4 linked regions of the Nothobranchius furzeri genome follow. The protein of the gene in region 4 interacts with the protein of the main gene of each other region in a pairwise test. Links are inferred from orthologs where the notes say so. Each region holds a gene or a part of one and is shown on either strand. Other genes may lie near its edges. The genes, in order: heterogeneous nuclear ribonucleoprotein D0, nupr1b, prmt1 and heterogeneous nuclear ribonucleoprotein Q-like.

Region 1 (3,528 bases), on a different chromosome or scaffold from region 4:
TTTCTGTCTTTTATTCTTTTATTTGTGCGTGATGCGTTTCGCTGCTGTGGATCAGGGTGCATCACCTGTTTTGTCCTCAGTGACGCACCTAAATGATGTGGCCGGCGGTAACTCATAAGGTGAATATATATGAACCCAGGTAGCAGTTTTTCTTTAGGATTGAGAGGAGATGCAGGAAGATAATAAACAGGCAGGACAGAAAAATAGTCAAATAAAAACAAGTTAGTTTTTGTACCTGCTGGTTGCAACAAACAGACACCACTGAAGGTAATCAGAAGTGAGGAACAGAAAATGAAATAATTATTTTAATGTTTAGAGCAGCAGGAACTCTGAGAGGCTGCAGGCGCATCAGTGAGTTTGCGGCCGCTGCGCAGGGGGAGGGGGGAGAGGGCTGAAGCAGAAACTACCGTTGTTAAAAGAAATGTGTTTAACTTTGAAAATGTGGGCGCAATTTTAATTGTCAAAAACTCCAGCGAACCATTAGTTCATTTTGCTCAAATAGAAATTGAGGTCTGCCTCTACTTCTGGCCCTCCTTCCAATAAAGTCCTGGAGCTTGATGAGCTTGAGTCAAATACAGGCCCGGGCTTGTATTAGAGGATTTACGGTACTTCATTTTGATCAAAAATACACATTAAAGAAAGCATTACATGCAAATTTCTGGAAACGTGACACTTTAAATCTTTTTCTGTATGATTTTGTTTAAATCAACGGTTATAAGAGAAAAATGTGTTGCAGGAAAAATTAACAAAAAGAGGAGTCTTTTCCATCGCTGTCAGTAACACAAAACAGAAGAATATAATTACACAAATTAAAGCACTTTATCCCCCAACGCAGTAGAGTCCAAACCAGGTTAAAGCTCATGGACTACTAGTTAAATAAAAAATACCATTAGAAGTGAATTATTAACATTAGAACTGGAAAGTCCAGAGAAAGCTGTATGTATCCTTTAAAAAACAGATAGTTATTTCTTTCTTTCATATGTATAATCATTACTTGTGGGGGAGTAAGGGCCTGTAAAAAGAATGACAATTACATGTGTATGTTTAAGTTTTACATTACATAACAGTCGCCAAACCCAAAAGGCTTAAAAATAGAAAGAAAGAAAAACAAAGCTGCACGTGTCCCATACTTAGAAATTCTGATACAGGATGTTGTAAGACCATACCAAATGGCAGCATTCGAGAGCGTACGCTGCTCGTACCCGGTCCGCATTGAGCGGGCCCTGAGGGTATCTGGGAGTCAGCTCATGGCCTGCAAGGAAGCTCCGCTGGCAGGTACAAACAAGGTATGTCAGAGTTAGGAGACAATAAACTTCCTTTTCTGTTTCCCTGCACATCCTTAACTTTGGCATCCATTTACTGTAGTAGCACTTTACCTGTTAACTTTACAGTTAAAAAGGAAAAACAAGAGAAGGTGCAAAAGGAGGCCGGCTGTTAAAAATAATGGCCACAAGAGCATAGCCTCTATGTTACCACTACTGTAAAGCACATGAAGGTGCTGAGAAAAAGAAATTTACGTGAGCAAATTAAACAAAATATTACAAAACACCAAAGTTAATATAGCTACTTATAGTTTGGACTAATCTGTGTGAGTTTGTTACTGGATACCTACTAGAAGCTGAGCTCTTTAATACGGCTTGAAGCTGTTGGTGTGAGCGCCACGCCGCGGCGACTTGCCGTACCCGCCAGACTGATCTGCAAATGACAGGAAAGTTAGATTTATTACCACGATACCTTCTTGGAAGTACAACAAATAAAATGTGTGTTCCAGAGATACTCACTGCTGTAGTCCACGTATCCATAATAATTATTGTACCCAGAGTAGTCATAGCCACTATAGCCTCCATATCCTTGATTGCCGTAACCGTAATTGCCATAATTCCCATAATTCCCATAGCCTTGATTCCAGTAGTTACCATAACCCTGGTTCCAGTTCTGACTGGGACCTGTGGTGGAAACAAGTCATCACGTCACACAGAACGTTTTCCAGCATCCACATTTTACCATCTGATGTTTTCTACTGAATTCAGTTGTAATTAAATTAAAAAGGTCTCAACATCTAGCAGCTCAGGGGCCATTTGAGGCCCTTGGAGGGATTTAGTGCAGCCCCAAATGCATCTGTAGAATGATCAGTTTTAGGCAGGCTGTTGATGGAAAACAACACGTTTTTTTCCCACTATTTTGGTCGTATTTTTAAAATTTCAACGTAGTCTTGAAAGGTCTGGACACCCCTGATGTAGAAGGTTGTAATAAGTCAAAGTCAAAGTCATTTATTGTCATTTCTACCACATGTGCAAGACATACAGAGAAACGAAATTGAGTTTCAGTACACACAATTCAGAGATCAGACATACATGGGCAAGACACATGACAAGAATTGGTGACTGCGGTCATTCGCAACACGAGTCGCGCTACCTTATTAGATGAAAAGGAATTACATGAGGATAGGTTGGAGGAGGGAAAAAGGCATACCAGAGTTACTCCCGACAGGGCGTAGCTGTACTATGCAAAAAAACCCTCAAACATATAAGCACGACTAAGTCGACTAGTTGATACAACCCCTAGTAGGAACCACGATCTAGAACCAGTCTCACCAACAAACATGCCCTTTATGTCCACACAACGGTGAGGACAAGTTGCAGCTTTATTCAGACATTTCAGGACCAAGCTTAGAAAAAAAATCCGCCATGAAGTTTAAAAAAATGTTGAAATGGAGTTATTTACCGATTGTTTTTATCTTTAATGAAGTTTTTCTAGAATGTTTCAGCCTGAACAGTTCTGCTGATACAGTTCTTGTGCGTTTGATAAGGAAACAATCTTCTCTGCTCAGTGAGAAACCCAGCAGGTGGAGGCAGACATAAATGTTAAACTAGCAAGAGCAATGTTTTAGTTTTCCATCCTAACTCACCTCCTCTTCCTCTGGACCTGGACGAGTATCCTCCTCTGCCTCCCCAGTACTGCTGCTGCTGGTACACCTCCTTTGACACAGCCACCTTTACTTCACACTAAAGTCAAACATTATTAATTTATTATGTCTTCATTAAGGTACAGTCATATAATGAAATCTGATTGGATGAAGTGATTGCACCTGGCTGAGTCCGATGTTGTGGTACTTCTTCTCCATAATCTTCTTCACTGGCTCCTCCTCTAGAAATGTGATGAAGCAGAAGCCTCTCCTTTTGTTAGTTTTGTTCTCCATGGGAAGTTCAATCAACTCCACCTGATTAAATCATAGTGAATGCATTCATGATATATTGGGTTTTATTTAAAAAGGAAAATGCAAGCAAAAGCTTAACGAATATAAAGTGAGGCGTGTGTGTGTGTGTATGTGTCACACCTCTCCAAAAGCACTGAAGTACTCTCTGACTTTGTCTTCATGAGTATCTGGAGACAGACCACCAACAAAGATCTTCGTCACAGGCTCCTTGGCCTTCATGGCTTTGGCTCTTTTGGGGTCGATCACCTTCCCGTTGAGCTTATGTTCCTTCTGTGATGCAACCTTCATGAGGACAAACGCCAACAATAAAC
Region 2 (4,265 bases), on a different chromosome or scaffold from region 4:
TGAACTGAGATTAAAAACCTAATTTTCAAGGGCGTCCTGGCCTACATGCAGCAAAAGTTACAGTTACAGCCATGTTGTGTCTGTGTAAAAAGTTACTGAAACATTAAATCTTTTACTTTTCCCATCATTTAGATAACTCGTTTTCCCCACAACACACACACACACACACACACACACACACACACACACACACACACACACGACAGAATACCTGTTACAGCGATTTAAACTGACTTTTGTTTTCCGTCTGCATCCTCTCGTGTGTTTTCTGGATATTGAGCAGATTGTGTTCACTGCGTGACCTCTCCTCCTGAAAGAGACAACAGACGAACCGATTATTTACCAGGTGTGCTGACCCAGATCAGCTGCCACCCGAACCGGAACTCACTTGAGTCTGTTTGATGAGCTGGTGGAGCTCCGTCAGCAGCTCTGCGATCTTTGTGTCGGCAGACATGTTTTATCCTGTAAGATTCTCAAATTCAAACAGCTTCTAAAAGCAGCGATGAAGAAGAACTTTTGCTTAAATATTAATGGTAGCATTCTGCTCGACTGCGTTAGCGACTGGCTCAATATACAAAAACAAGATAATTTAACAACAAAATCAGAGCCATCATTTCCTCGTGACATAATCCCAGTGATATTTATCCCATTCGACTTGTATCAAACCCATTAATGTACTCACCGAACAGATTTACGTGTTTATTTACTTCAGACGCTAACTACATGTCTCCTTCTTGGCTGTTTGAGGGGTCGCTTTACCGCTTGTAACAGGAACAGCGCCAATTTCTGCTGTGGTCAGTGTCTGGAACTGCAACCATGGTCGAAAACTGTCGAAACCCTTTTCGCCCCGTTCCCCCCCCCCCCCCTCCTTTTTAATTACGTGTAGCAGCACCTATGACGTACGTACACGTGCCATAACAATGAGCCGTATTGGTTAAAGAATGAAAAATGTCTGTTTAACTGAAGCAGTTGCATGTTTGAGATTTATCTCAAGTTTTTTGTCACTTGTAATATTTCAGTCAAGACATCTTTAGAGCATTTATTCTGTCAAATGCTTGAATAAATTCCCCCTGAGGTACATTTAAAATTTTTGGGACTTGTCAAGTGTATTTTTTATATGGACACCAAGTTCTTTATCAATAATCTAAACAATTTTAAGTCCACTGAACTAAAACACAAAAAGGACAAGAATGAGAAAATAACTTTTCTTTCATCGCACAATTTATGAAACAATGACAAAAGAATAAAAGATAGCCCTTGTTTTCATTTACATTTTTCCCCTTTCACTGAGATTCTAGGCTAAACAAAAACAACAACACTCTGACGTTAGTTGAAACATTTTAATTATAAAACGACCTTGTAAAAACAACCATCCTTCAGCTGCAAAGTCACAACCGAAGGTGCACCTCTGTGGCCTGAGCCATGACTCTGAACTCAGGTAAACTCCAACACCAGAGATCAGTGTACAACCCCTGCAGGCATCAGAGAAGAGGCCTGGATCTGCAGGCTCTTCGCCACGCCGAGGTTAATCCCAGCAGAGCTCCAACAAGCTCCATCAATCTGCACGTCGAGGCCGTGGTCAGTTTCCAGGTAAAGCTGTCCGAGTCGCCCTGTTAAAAACAAAAGACCAAAGCCTGGTTATTGTAAACACATCTGCAGAGCAGAACCAAGCACACAACACTGATCATTTTACACAATCATTCCAGATAGATTGATGGTCAAAATCAATCCTCCCAAATGGATTAAAACAATTAGGCAAACATGTTGTGTGCAACTTAAATCTATTTATCAACTTTCAATTTTAGGATTTTGGTTTGATGCAAATATTTGAGAACATTTCTTGAAATGGGGCGTTTTAAGCAGTAGTTGGGTTAAGTGAAGCCACCAAACAGTTCCAGCTTTCACCTGCTTTAGGTGGTAAACTCGGGTTTAAAGGGTTAATTCTGTTTGCGTCGTGGCAGCAGCTCTGCAGGAAGCGCTCCAAATCCCGGAGAAATCCAACAATTTAACGTTTATAAATGCTCGATGCTTTTGGATCCAACTAAACAAACAGCGTTCCTGTCGGCGGGGCCGTTAACCCAAACTGGACGGAGACTTTATTTCTGCAGGTGTGTTTGTTCCACCTTGGTCATCACTCCTTGGCTTTCTTCTCGCTGTTCTGGAGTTTCTCCGCGATCTTCCGCTCGTGTCCGGCGGGGTTGTGTCGGTTCGTGTTGTCGCTGGCCTCCTTCTTGGTTCGGCCTTTTCGGGCCGAGCCTTCTGCAACACACACACACACACACATTTACCCACCCTGAACCGGTCTGGAGTTCCGTTAGCTCCAGGCTAAGGAAAGAGCTGCTCACCTGCGTATTTGTCGGTCAGACTGTAATAATCATATTCGTCATAATGTTCTTCCTCGAACTTGTTGGAGGGTTTCAGGTTTTTCACGTCGACGTGACTCATGTTTGCTTCAGCTTCTCAACACAAAGACTCAGAAACGTTCACTCGGTACTTTTCTTCGGCTGGTCTCCTTGTTTTCGGTCTCCTCTCGGTGTTTTCTTCTCCTGCAGGTTTTTATAACTTACTGAGCTCCTCCTCCTCTCCTTTACTCCTCCTGCTGGTTTTCTATGGCGTTTAAAGCGTGCCACAACCCGTGCACGCGCATTGGGTCCACAGCGCGCGTGTGAACGGGACTCGCGAGCGGAAATATACATGGCGAGAGGTCATTTGTGCACTGAGAGGGAGCAAACTGTGTCTGTGAGCGCACAAGGTTGTGCACAAGTGACAAACCTGCGTGCGCGCGTTGTCAACGAGCACACGGCAGAGGAAAACGTGCGCGCGCGGCAGCCTCTGTGCGCGCTCGGCAGCCTCTCTGCGCGCTCGGTTTCTGACTCCTGCTCGCTCGGCTGTAAGGGTTTTGGCACTCTGGAGGCGTGGCCTGTGGCAGATCTTCTCTGTCCTCTGATTGGTTAGTGTACCCCGCACTTTACCCTCTACCTATCTATACAAAAAAGTCTGCTATTCAAGCAGTTGCTGGCATAGCTCAGTTGGGAGAGCGGGTGACTCTCGCCCCGGAGGATCCGGGTTCGAGGCCGGGCAAGGAAAATGCAGTAGATGTCATGTTAATTTTTCTTAATTTCAGGTATTTTACAGTTGTGACCGTTCAACTGTCATTAAACGTCCGAATGTTTGCTGGGCAGTGTTTTAAAAAGTGCACATAAGCTAGATGGTTTTAACCATAGAAAATTACATTTTTTGTGATACTGGAAAAATACATACTGAAATAAAACTACTGATTGAAAACTTTATGACTGTGGTTGTACAATATATGACTCACTAATACACTGCAAACTCCCTTAGAGTGGGGCTTCCAGAGAGAGAGAGAGAGAGAGAGAGACAGAGAGAGAAAAGTTCTTGCCTCATTAATGAATTGTTTATTTTTTTCAGTATTTAATTGACAAATTATCCTTTCAAATAATTAATTGATGAGTTACATAATTGTCCATTTAGAATTGTTGAATGGACTGAGTCAAGTTTGGTGCACTTTATATATTTCAAAACATGTTTTTTTTAATGATGCATATAAATAATTTAAATGTTAATTTAATGAAATATTTCTATTTTTTCATTACCTCACCCTTGTTTTGACAAAAACGGGACCTTGCTGGATAATATCATGGAGAAACTATTTGTTCACAGTACATGGCTCCGTAAGGATCTGTGTACCAAAGGAGGAGATACTCAGAAATCTGTCTGCAGATTGTTACAACCCAGACTGGAAGTGGCGGGCTGTAATAAGAAAGGAGACCAAACAGAGCAGTGGGGGTTCAACAACTGATTTATTTAACAAAAGTAAGGATTTACTAAAGCAAGTTAGTGAACAGAAAATGGCCATCTCAAGGTTTTACTCGGATGTCCCTCAGCAGGGTGCAGCACTGTTGAAGGTCATCTGAATGAAAGCTTGATATGCAGTTTCTTTATGAAAGTGTGTAAATATACAGTATGGTTGCCGTACATATGTTGAGGTTCTCAGACATCAGGCTTCTTTGCCCAGGCCTTCACTAGTGGGCTATTTTAAAAGTTGGTAAGGAGAAAAACCACAGCATATAGCTGATTGTTTACAAATGCAAGGAGGGGAATAACAATCAAAATGCTTGTGTTCTTGGACCAGATGAATGGAGCGCTCCACATGCACTCAGAGATGTTATGGCTTCTGTTTCTATAACTTTACATGCAGACATTTGAGGTTTGCCAGAAAGGAAAGCTGGCCTGTACACTTTGCA
Region 3 (5,231 bases), on a different chromosome or scaffold from region 4:
TCTGCCTGTGATAAGTGTTATATAAATCAAATTTACTTACAACTAGGGTTGTCAGGGTAACCGGTGTAGCAGTAAACCCCGTAAAAAAGTTGACAATAATAATAACCGTCTTGTTTTTAAAAACTATATTATCTCGGTGGGTTTACCGTGGCTGCGGTGTAGGCGCGGTGACCCTTACCAGCCACCGTATCATCTGCTGAAGTTGCCGGCGGCACATGCACGCTTAGTTGTTTACAACCAAAACTTTCTTGAAGCTAAAGCTGAAATAATGGCCAAAGGAGGAGACGGCAGCACTCAGGACATTTATTATCCCTCAAAGAAGACAAAGTGGGAAGTACGGGCATTTTTTGGATATTTGAAGAATGCAGAGGGACAGTTTATAGAAGACGGCTATCCTGTTTGCAGCTCGTGCAGGAAAAGTGTCTGTGAAAGGCAGCAACGCTTCAAATCTCATGACACATCGGCGTGACCATCACCCACAACTCTACAGTCAACGCAAGGCAAGCTAATGTTAGCATTTTAGCTAAAATGCGTGATCCAAGGATTTGGGTTGAGGGAGAATGCAACGAGTCGCTATATAAAGCAGCTGCAGCGCCGCTACCTGCATATAAACCGTGTCGCAGACTAGGGCTGCTCAATTAATCGAATTTTAATCACGATTACGATCTGAGTTTTGAACGATTATAAAAAACAAAACAAGCCGATTATTTGCTCCTCCCGCCTGCGCTGCCCCGAGTTGCAAATGAAGCGCTCCTCACAGTGTTGCCAACTTAGCGACTTTGACGCTATTTCTAGCAGCTTTTCAGACACCCTTCTTGACTTTTTAACTTAAAAGTACCTAGCGAACACCTGAGAAACATCTCTGGTAACCCTTAGCTACTTTCTGGATAACTGTCATCGACATTTCCTGCAGGTTAGCTTAACACTCCGCCTGCGCCCCGGACCGTTCTTCAGGACATTAGGAAAGGGAATGATGTAGTGATGTGTCAGTCGCTAAAGAAACAGCTCTCAGAGCCGGCTCCCTGTTGGAGTAACCAGAGTGAGTGACACACACACCGCACCTGCGGACTCCTGAGCCACTAAAAACGGCTAAATGTGCGTGTGCGGCGCGCTAAACACACGTGCAGTTTGCCCCGATTGCTGTGAGACCGGGTTGGGGGGTGCAGCTGTGGTTGGGACAATTATTACATTAACTGATGGACTTGTAAATAAATAGTTTATAAATAATGTAGAAATAAGTTCCTCACGCTGATAATTAATAACTAATCTCTGAGGACACGGTGCTAGTGCACTCTCCTACAGCACCTTGACACAACTAAATAAATGTTATGCAACATTTTGTGAACATAAATTTATTTGCATGTATTTGTTGCCACTGTATAATTCTTGCTGTCAGTATTTGCAAGATATTGGTATTTGGGTCTGTACTGGTTAGACTTAAATGAGTTAAACCAAGGTCTATAGCCCTTGGGTCATAAACTATGAGCTATAAAAATATATTGGTCTTTTTATACTGGGAATCAGGAGTTCTTTTAGTGATCATCTTGTTTCTTATTTTTGTCCTGATTGTGCCCTGAGCAATTTTATGACTGAATAAAAACAAATAAAATCAACATAAATTGAAAAATCGTCCTAAATAATCGTGATCTCAATTTCAGTCACCATAATCGTGATTATTATTTTCGCCATAATCGAGCAGCCCTATCGCAGACACCCCATGTTGAAATGACGCTATGCATTACGGGGCTCCCAGGGGCAGATAAGAGTTGGTCTCTCTCCGAGAATAATTATGAATTTAACAATGATTACTGCCTGATGACATTTTCCCACATCTGCAAAGCTCACTGGAAGGACACAAACCGAGGACAATATTTACCTGATATAGGGTTTGTTACTCAAGTAAGGGTAAAGTATCTGATTAGAAGGCTACTTGAGTACTGAGTATCATCGGATCTAATATTTTTAAATGATGACATCAAACAGACAAAAAATAAGTAGCAAATATCTGTATTTTAAAGACTAATGGGAAACAATGTAAACAAATAAACATTACAAAATAACACATTTTAGGCAAAATTTAGACAAACTGTGGAGAATATTTCCTGACATACAGGGTTTATTTAATTGTGTGAAAATGTAGCACGTTAAAAAAATACCGCGATAATACCGAAAACCGTGGTAATTTTGGTCACAATAACCGTGAGCTTAAATTTTCACACCGTGACAACCCTACCTCAGACCCACCGGTCTGCCTGTTTTTACCGCTGCTGCTACGCTGTCTCTGAGGACAAAGATGACGTAATAAATACATTCCGTCCTAGTGAGGATTCAGGAACCAGTCCCCTGAGCTCCTGTGATCAGGAACCAGCAGCAGCATCTACTACCACGTCTAAACTAAACCGTCTCTTATGCTTGTCCACTCTGACTGAGGTTAAACGTAACCAGCGTTGTGTTAAAGCAATTTGACCACGTTAAAAAAACCGAGAATGTTCACCTCACTGACTTTAAACATGTACAATAATCGCGAGGAGTAAACTGGGCAGAGGGCTGTTAGATGGGAGATGAGTGTCAACGTGCACCCGGCTCCCGACACCTCCAGACCGAACAGATTAGCTTAGCGGCTAAGTCTCCCTCCCATGAACGCTACAGAAGTTTAAACACTTTAAATTTTAAGTTTGTTTGACTCTGAGCCCAGCGGTTTTCTAACCCGAGTAAAACATGTAGCTTCGGAGGCTAACCAGCACAAGAGGTAACATGTTGGACTGACTCACTGTACAAAGCCGATAACTAGTTAGCATCAGAGGCTAACTAGCTTCAGAGCTAACACGTTGGACCCATTGTGCAAAGCCGAGAACCAGTTATCATAGACTACCTAGCTTCAGAGCTAACACGTTGGACCCATGCGGTCACAGAGGACACACCGGCTAACTTCAGCCATTACCGCTCACTCACGATGTAACGAAATTTTTAAATCACGACCTACACGCGTTACTGACTGAGTGTCAGAGTTTTGTCGTATTTTTTCTGATTTGTTCTAACTGCGACACTAATGAATGAGCGGCATCAGCAGACACATGAAACCACGTTTAAAAATCGGTTTTTCTGTGTGTGGTAAAGAAACACACGTCCGACATCGGTGGAAGCCAACACTAAAAATTCGTGTGTGTGAAGTTACTATATTTCTCCCAGTAAGTCCTTACCTCCATCCTTTCTGCTGGCGCCGCCATTTCCATCTTCTGCCTTGTGTCGTGTCTTCTTCTTCGTCAGGTTCTTCTACTTTGGCGGACGGCTGCTTCTTCTTCTTCTGGACTTACATACGTCATTTACAGCGTTTCCGCCATATTGGATGGGCCTCCTTTGTGCTGCCTATGGCTAAAACAACCGGCGTACTATTGAAAGCAGATCACGTGGGATTACCAGAGACTTTTCTAGCCTACCTGATGGGATTTTATATTAAATTTAATTAATATTTATTTTGTTTAATTATATTTATATTTTATTATTATGCCATACATTGTGCCTGATTTTGTGAAAAAGCTCGATTAAATTTGTTTTTTAGTTGAGTTAGCCCCTTCCTCAGTAGAAATTAATGCACCGGGGGCGAATGGAGACCCATCCAAAATGGCGGATGGCCACTACGGCAGATCCAGTCCACGGGGCGTTGCCGTAAATATGTCTGCGCATACCTAACGTGAAAAGGTGTTTACTGCCACCTACTGTTAGTAGTAATCGGACGTTTTATTTATTGAAGACTCCTCGACTTTTATAAGCTTGGAAGGCTTTTACTGAGCATCAATGCTTTTTTACAGCAGCACCTGAGAACCACAGCGCCCCCAACTGGAGATGACGGGTATCTTTATTTTAAAGTATCTTTTTTTATATCAACTAAACAGAGGATTATTGACATTTGGAATAACAGCACCCAAACATCGGAAAAGTTGGAGTGCATTATGAACAAATGACCTTGACTCCATCACTAAGAGAACAAATTAAAATTTGTATGCATCAGTTTCTCTGAGGACCTCTCCTGAGGCCCCAAAGGCTAAACAGCATTTGTATTTGCTGAGAAGGCTGAGGAAGTTTAGGATGCCAAGTCCTGCCCTCACCAGTCCGTACTCCATCAAGAGAGGAAATGGAACAGCTTCACACGAGACGAGCTATGTGTGGAAACAGCTCAGCAAACGAATACCAGGCAGGCTCCATGGTGGATGCAGCAAAAAAGAAAAAAATAATCCACTGGCTCAGCACTCTACACTGGAAATGCTGCCTACTTCTACAACACCTGTCCTTAGGAGGAAAAACAACATCATCAGGGGACTGAACCCCCACAACACAAACTGTGCAGCTTTTATCTACAAAAGCACAATAACCAGAAGCACCAGACTAAAAGAGAGTTTTATTCTTCTGACTTATCGGCCCCATCCTGCAACACCAGTTCACCCACTGCTAAAATAAATGCACAAAAATCTTTGACCTAATCATTCACTCTGAAAAATATTGCACAGGTAGATGTGTTGCACAATACGTTTAGGTTTGTTGTTTTTGTGTACTGTTTGTACAAATACATGTTTACATGTTGCCCTGTGGGGTATGTTACTTCTTAAATGTTTGCATTTGTGCACCTGTGTTTGGCCTACCTCAGGTATCCTAATTATTACTGTCCTGGTACTAGAAGGGTCTACCAGAGCAGATAGATGCAGACTGTGCAACAACGCTGCCTCACTCAGAGAGACTCCAGTTATCAATCGTGGGAAAGTCTGCATGGTGGCACAGTTGCTAGCACTATTGCCTTGCAAGAAAATGGCTGTGCGCTCAAATAACAGCTATGGCCTTTGAGGGTTAGGGTTTGGCCTGTGAGGAATTAGCATGTTCTCTAGGTGCATACATGGGTTTCTCTGTGTCCTCTGTCTTCATCTCACAGACCAAAAGAATTAAAGTTGATTGGAGTTCCCTAACCCCCTAAGCATGAATGAATGTGTGTTTCAGACTTGTCCCTGTCCCTATGATGGACTGAAAACTTGCAGCCCAGTGACAGCTGGAGACAGGCACCATCTCCCTGTGATCCTACACAGAATTAAGCAGATTGTTGAATAGATAAACAAAATATATACTAAAAATGTACGTGGAGGCAGCAGAGCATCCCCTGTACTAAGGAGCAGTTCCTTTGTTCCAGGTTCCAGTCGGATGTTGAGTATAGTGATGTTCCTTAGATCAAACTAACAGATTGTGTT
Region 4 (5,439 bases):
CGGGTGGAGGTCCTCCGTACTTCCTCTGGCCTGTCGTTACGTCCAGGGTGTAGCTGGTTCTTTCTAGCAGCTCTTTTATCTTTGCCTCGTCTGGTCCTTTGGTGGAAGGTGAGACTTTAGTCCCTTGTTTCTCTCTCTGCCTGTAGGTCTTCATCACCCCACAAAGAAAGGCACTTTTGTTCTGGAAAACAACAATTCCTTTTCAAATGAAAAAAGTCAGTGTGAAAGCCTCCAGGTGAGGATGCTTACCTGTACGTGTGACAGATCACTCTCCTTAAACTGGACCAGCACCTGCAGAGCTCCATCTTCATTAAACTCCTTTAAAGCTTCGAGGGCTCGTTCATCCAGGTCACTGTGAGCCACCAGACCTGTGGCAGGAAATGCAGTAACTATTATTAGATGCACTTAATGATGTTCTGCTCTCACACCAACCAACACCACCATACAGGTAGGAAACACTGTTGTCAGGTAACTGCAGACCGTACCTTCTGCAAACAGCTCATCTAGCTTCTCCGCTACCTTCTGAGCTAAACCAGCTTCCAACAAGGCCGGGAAATGTTCCGTGTGGGCCACTGCTGATGTGTCCGTGGGCTCCTCTGTGTTCCCGTTAACGTGGTCTGTGGCCATGTCTCCAGACATCTGCAGACACAGAGCTCAGTTACCACCGGGGCTCATGGGAGACAGATCTATGTCTTTTAGAAACGCTGAGTAAACATGTACAAATTGTTCTGTAGCCAGTTTTAAACCGTTAGATCTTTAACTAGAAGTGCTCACGGCGCATGTGCACACATGCATCAGCGCAGCTCACCAGCTGTTTCCCTATTTGCTCATTTTTATTTGTACACTATTGCACACAATAACAAGGACTGTCAAGACGGCGTGTTTGTCAGATTAAACTGATAAGATGTTGATTCACTTTCATCGTCTTCCTCCTCCAACCTCCAGCGATCCCAACGGACAATAACAACTGGGGATGTATGCTTACCAAACTTTCTTTAACCGGCTAGCGACGCTCCGTAGCGGTCAATAGCCCCCCCCAAACATTTGCCTCGCTCTATGAATAACACTTTCTCCATCTACTCTTTAATACAATGACTCACGACTTAAGTCCCACACTCGTTATGTTTATGAACAAAAGTAAAGAGAGTGGGATGACAGCTGGATTGTCCGTCAGACTCAGCGGACCATCTGATCTCAGATACGCAGCGCTGCTTGTGATCACGTGCTGATAAGTGCAGTCTGGCCGCGGTTTTAACACCTAGTGTAATTATTTAGTTGAATGCAAGAAAACTTAATTTCTTTATTGTACTGGACAAATAAGGCATCAGGCATAAGGAGCGTCACGGCCGACGGACCTGCTGCTGGTCTCGGCTCGGCGCTCTGATGTGAGGCTTTTTGTGCTCCAAGAATGAAATAACGAAAGAACAAACAATAACCGCTAACTCTAATAACCGCTTGTGTTTCAGCACATTTGTTAGGTCTTGTGATGAGCTCATTTCTTCTTCTGCGGTCGCCCAGTAAACCATTTGACAGTGGCACTCTTGCGTCCTCTAGTGGCACAAAATATATTGCACCAAGCACAGCAGAAGGACTTGAAACAGTTAACTGGAAAAAACTAGTTTACCTGGTCACAACATTAAAGGCAATTAAGCAGTTAACTACGTGCATCCCTAATAATACGATAAGTCTGACGTGTTGTGTAAAAACAGCTGATTTTAGCATATTTGTGGGCCCAACATGTCGCTACCAGACATACAGTGTGAGCACGTAACTCGTGAGACTTGCTCTGCAAGGAAGTCGTACAGTTTGAGCTGAAACTCAACTCTACCAGTTAAAACACCGCCCAGTTAAAGGGCAAATTTTTATTTCCTGTGATGAAATGTAGATCCCTTTGCGTTGGTTGCACCAGCACATGTAACAGTTTGGACTGTTTACCATGATGCTTCTTTCATTTAAATTCAGTCTCGGAAATATTCCTCAGCTTTTAGTATCGCGATATTTTCTACTCTGTATCGCGATACGTATCGTATGAACATGCATCCCTAACTCTGAACACAAAGTTTTTACGACAGAATAAACCCCCTCAATGCTCTTGACTTACTAGTTTGATTATGAATCTTTTCTTATCCAGTCACATCTTATCAGTCTTACTCCACTCCCACTTCCTGTTTGAAAAATGCAACAAATGCTGTTGCCTAGCGCACGCACACACACACGAACACAGGTTCACAACAACATTGTGACATAATGTACCAGCTAACGTCATGGTGTACCTCTTAGCCAATAGCAATGTCAGATTTAAATTCAGCTGCAGTGCAGGGTGTTTACCTGAACACGGTGCGACACTGAGTTTTAGGAATATTATTTACATTTGAAGTATGATACACTAAAGGCCCAAATTATTGACTGCATGCGTCTACAGCCCGATTAGACACTAGTTTATATAATGTATCAGCAAAAGAAGTAGATTTGGGGGTGACTTGCTCTTTAAAGTTGATAACCCTGGTCCAATGGTCTAACCCTTGTCCTCCAGGGCCACCGTTCTGGTGTGTCTGCTCCAGTAATTGGTTTCTTAGGGAAGCGAACTGAACCAGGTGTGTTGGAGCAGGAAAACAACCAAAACATGCTACACGGTGGCCCGGGAAGACCAGCGTTAGATTGCCCTGGCCTAACTGTTGTGTTAGTGGGTAAATCTACCGATAACACCTGTTGTGATCCTAGACTGGTTTAAACACAGCTAACTGATCTGTTTCCGGGTGACTTCAGACAACAGCCGCCGGTATTTGGCGCCATCGAGCTGGACAGCGGACATCGTCTGACCACACTGATCCGGTTAGATCGTTACTAAACTGAAAACCCATCAGCGACAGATCGGAGTCGTTTAAAACAAACAAAAACATGGATAAGTAGCCCCAGAGCAGCGACCCGGTCTAATGGACCATAACTGCTGAAACCAACACTCACCACACCTGAGAGCGCGTGGGGCTCGAGTAATAATAATAATAATAATAATGCACTGAGTTTATATAGCGCTTTTCTAGACACCCAAAGACGCTTTCACACACTCTCACATTCACACACTTGTAGCCACAGCCGCCCTGGGGAGGTCTGACAGAGGCGAGGCTGCCATTTGGCGCCGTCGGCCCCTCTGACCACCACTAACACAGGCAAGTTGGGTGAAGTGTCTTGCCCAAGGACACAACAGCAGGATACCCCTGGCGGGAGCTGGAATCGAACCCATGACCCTCCGATCACGAGGCAATCCGCTCTACCACCTGAGCTACTGCTTCCCCCGTAGTAGGCCTCGGTAGTTACCGCGCCGACACCGGTGAATGGAGAACGTGTACCGTGATGTATTAAACACTGTTGGCTATGAGCCATAAGCTCTCCTTTCCCTGCATTACCCCAATAACGGCATCGATGGACGCGTGTCCGATTCTTTCCTCAAAAGACCGGTTAGCACAGCCGGTCGAGCAGCACGCTGTAGAGGCGCGTGCACGAGCCAAACTCGGGGCTACCATGTTTGTTGCTACCTACCACGCGAAGCTACCTGTGGGTGCACGATGCTGATCCGCCGTGTTGATGATAGTCCAAATTAAGAGAAACGTTAGCGCGGGTAATCTCTTGGTTGACACCCGGGATACAAAATGGCGTCTGTATAACGTCGCGAGCGCTGCTGCTTCATTTTAGCATAAACGGGGCTTCTGAGTGACCTTCGCAGGGGCTCCTCCGGTTTCACCACCGCCCGGTGAGCGATGCTATGGGATTAGATTTGTGCCAATAGGATCAAGAAAAACACTTTGAAGATCAAATATTAAGACATTGCGAGAGAAAAAAATTGTTTCAAAAGAAAAACTTATGATCTGAATCAACTTCTTAAAATGAGTAACAAAGTATGTTTCCTTTTTCTGTTTGCCTCTATGTGTTTTTGTTATCAGTTTCCTTAGTTTCGTTCTCGCTGCACACAGCTTAGCTCTCACTACCAGATTTGCACTTAAACTTTCTGGCTTTCTCTTTTGCAATCCCTGAGTTTTTGGTTGCAATTCTGACACAACCCTTTCGGGTGGGTGGGACTTCTGAGAAGTCCTCTCCTATAGGACAGTGGTTTCTCTTGAGTGACTGTTCAGTGACCCGGAAGTGATGTAGCCTCCAAGACATTCTTTTCCCACCTCGGTCAACAACATGAATTTTGAGCCCCAAACACATTATTTCTGCTGTCTGTGGTGTCTACTGAGGATCTAAAGTGACAATTGATGATATATTTGATCTTTTCTTAGTTAATCTGTAAATTAAGCCACTTTTTAAGTTGGTTTTAACCAGACGTTAGCTCACTAGCTAGCTGCTAAGCAAGCATTGTGCTAGCCTAAGGACAATGGTCTATTGTTCCAGAGAGACGTATTAAAAATTCATCTTAACATATTCATTACTGGTTTCATGGAATTAATTATTGCAGTTTATGTTAATAAGTTTGCTAATTTTTCAGGAACCTGTGGAACATCAGAGACTTTGCAGCTACTGGAGCTAACCTGTGTACTGCTAACTTGCTACAGAGGAAGCAGCAGAAAGCTGAGCTAACAGGCTAGTTTGCAGGTAAATACTCTTTTAGTGGAACTGTAGGATTTTTATGGTATAACTCAGACAGAATCTACATGAGCTATTGTGGGAAGACATTTTAACTACATTTACATACAGATACATGTATTTTTTCTTCCATGTTACTTGGACGGGCTAAACAAGTTCATAGTTCTGCCTGCTCCTTTTTCAGTGAAACGAATGGATTATATGATGTAACTCTGACTGAATAATAATCTAAGTGAGCATGTTTGATAATACATTTCTTACTAGTATACAGATCTGACATTTGTTTGTCAGAACAGGACAAATCAGATTCAACCGCTCAGATTGGTCACTTCAAACAAGGAAAATCTCTGGCTCTCACAGACCTGTAACGTCTTCTTTAAGAAGCTTTTCTGTCCTCCAGTCGTTACTTGTATTAATGGCACCTGTTTGAACTCATTATAAGACACCTGTCCACAGCCTCAAACAGTCACACTCCAAACTCCACTATGGCCAAGACCAAAGAGCTTTCGAAGGACACCAGGAAAAGAATTGTAGACCTGCACCAGGCTGGGAAGAGTGAATCTACAATAGGCAAGCAGCTTGGTGTGAAAAAATCAACTATGGGAGCAATTATCAGAAAATGGAAGACATACAAGACCACTGATAATCTCCCTCGATCTGGGGCTCCACGCAAGCTCTCATCCCGTGGGGTCAAAATGATCATGAGAACGGTGAGCAAGAATCCCAGAACCACACGGGGGGACCTGGTGAATGACCTGCAGAGAGCTGGGACCACAGTAACAAAGGTCACCATCAGTAACACACTACAACGGCAGAGAATCAAATCCTGCAGTGCCAGACGTGTTCCGCTGCTGAAGC

Evidence for each region.
Region 1: the proteins of heterogeneous nuclear ribonucleoprotein Q-like (region 4) and heterogeneous nuclear ribonucleoprotein D0 interact in binary tests that used the Homo sapiens proteins (3 or more experiments, as listed by UniProt). The link is inferred for Nothobranchius furzeri from reciprocal best matches to the Homo sapiens genes SYNCRIP and HNRNPD.
Region 2: the proteins of heterogeneous nuclear ribonucleoprotein Q-like (region 4) and nupr1b interact in a two-hybrid assay, tested with the Homo sapiens proteins (2 studies listed by BioGRID and IntAct). The link is inferred for Nothobranchius furzeri from reciprocal best matches to the Homo sapiens genes SYNCRIP and NUPR1.
Region 3: the proteins of heterogeneous nuclear ribonucleoprotein Q-like (region 4) and prmt1 interact in binary tests that used the Homo sapiens proteins (3 or more experiments, as listed by UniProt). The link is inferred for Nothobranchius furzeri from reciprocal best matches to the Homo sapiens genes SYNCRIP and PRMT1.

The regions. Positions count from the first base shown.
Region 1 is NC_091746.1:62,882,454-62,885,981, forward strand, and holds part of heterogeneous nuclear ribonucleoprotein D0, read right to left. Parts: intron 3,500-3,528; coding exon 3,338-3,499; intron 3,221-3,337; coding exon 3,089-3,220; intron 3,006-3,088; coding exon 2,909-3,005; intron 1,947-2,908; coding exon 1,782-1,946; intron 1,696-1,781; coding exon 1,628-1,695; 3' UTR 1,613-1,627; intron 1,269-1,612; exon of another isoform or gene 1,131-1,268; intron 1-1,130. UniProt on the Homo sapiens protein: Binds with high affinity to RNA molecules that contain AU-rich elements (AREs) found within the 3'-UTR of many proto-oncogenes and cytokine mRNAs.
Region 2 is NC_091745.1:29,321,181-29,325,445, forward strand, and holds nupr1b (nuclear protein 1b), read right to left. Parts: upstream 2,644-4,265; 5' UTR 2,446-2,643; coding exon 2,346-2,445; intron 2,260-2,345; coding exon 2,132-2,259; 3' UTR 2,124-2,131; intron 1,611-2,123; 3' UTR 1,327-1,610; downstream 1-1,326. Other genes in the region: sgf29 (SAGA-associated factor 29), read right to left, coding at 235-310, 389-454. UniProt on the Homo sapiens protein: Transcription regulator that converts stress signals into a program of gene expression that empowers cells with resistance to the stress induced by a change in their microenvironment.
Region 3 is NC_091758.1:13,911,623-13,916,853, forward strand, and holds the start of prmt1 (protein arginine N-methyltransferase 1), read right to left. Parts: upstream 3,343-5,231; 5' UTR 3,234-3,342; coding exon 3,201-3,233; intron 1-3,200. UniProt on the Homo sapiens protein: Arginine methyltransferase that methylates (mono and asymmetric dimethylation) the guanidino nitrogens of arginyl residues present in proteins such as ESR1, histone H2, H3 and H4, FMR1, ILF3, HNRNPA1, HNRNPD, NFATC2IP, SUPT5H, TAF15, EWS, HABP4, SERBP1, RBM15, FOXO1, CHTOP, MAP3K5/ASK1, MICU1 and NPRL2.
Region 4 is NC_091742.1:17,031,059-17,036,497, forward strand, and holds the start of heterogeneous nuclear ribonucleoprotein Q-like, read right to left. Parts: upstream 3,691-5,439; 5' UTR 3,551-3,690; exon of another isoform or gene 3,538-3,550; intron 640-3,537; coding exon 486-639; intron 369-485; coding exon 250-368; intron 182-249; coding exon 1-181. UniProt on the Homo sapiens protein: Heterogenous nuclear ribonucleoprotein (hnRNP) implicated in mRNA processing mechanisms. Component of the CRD-mediated complex that promotes MYC mRNA stability.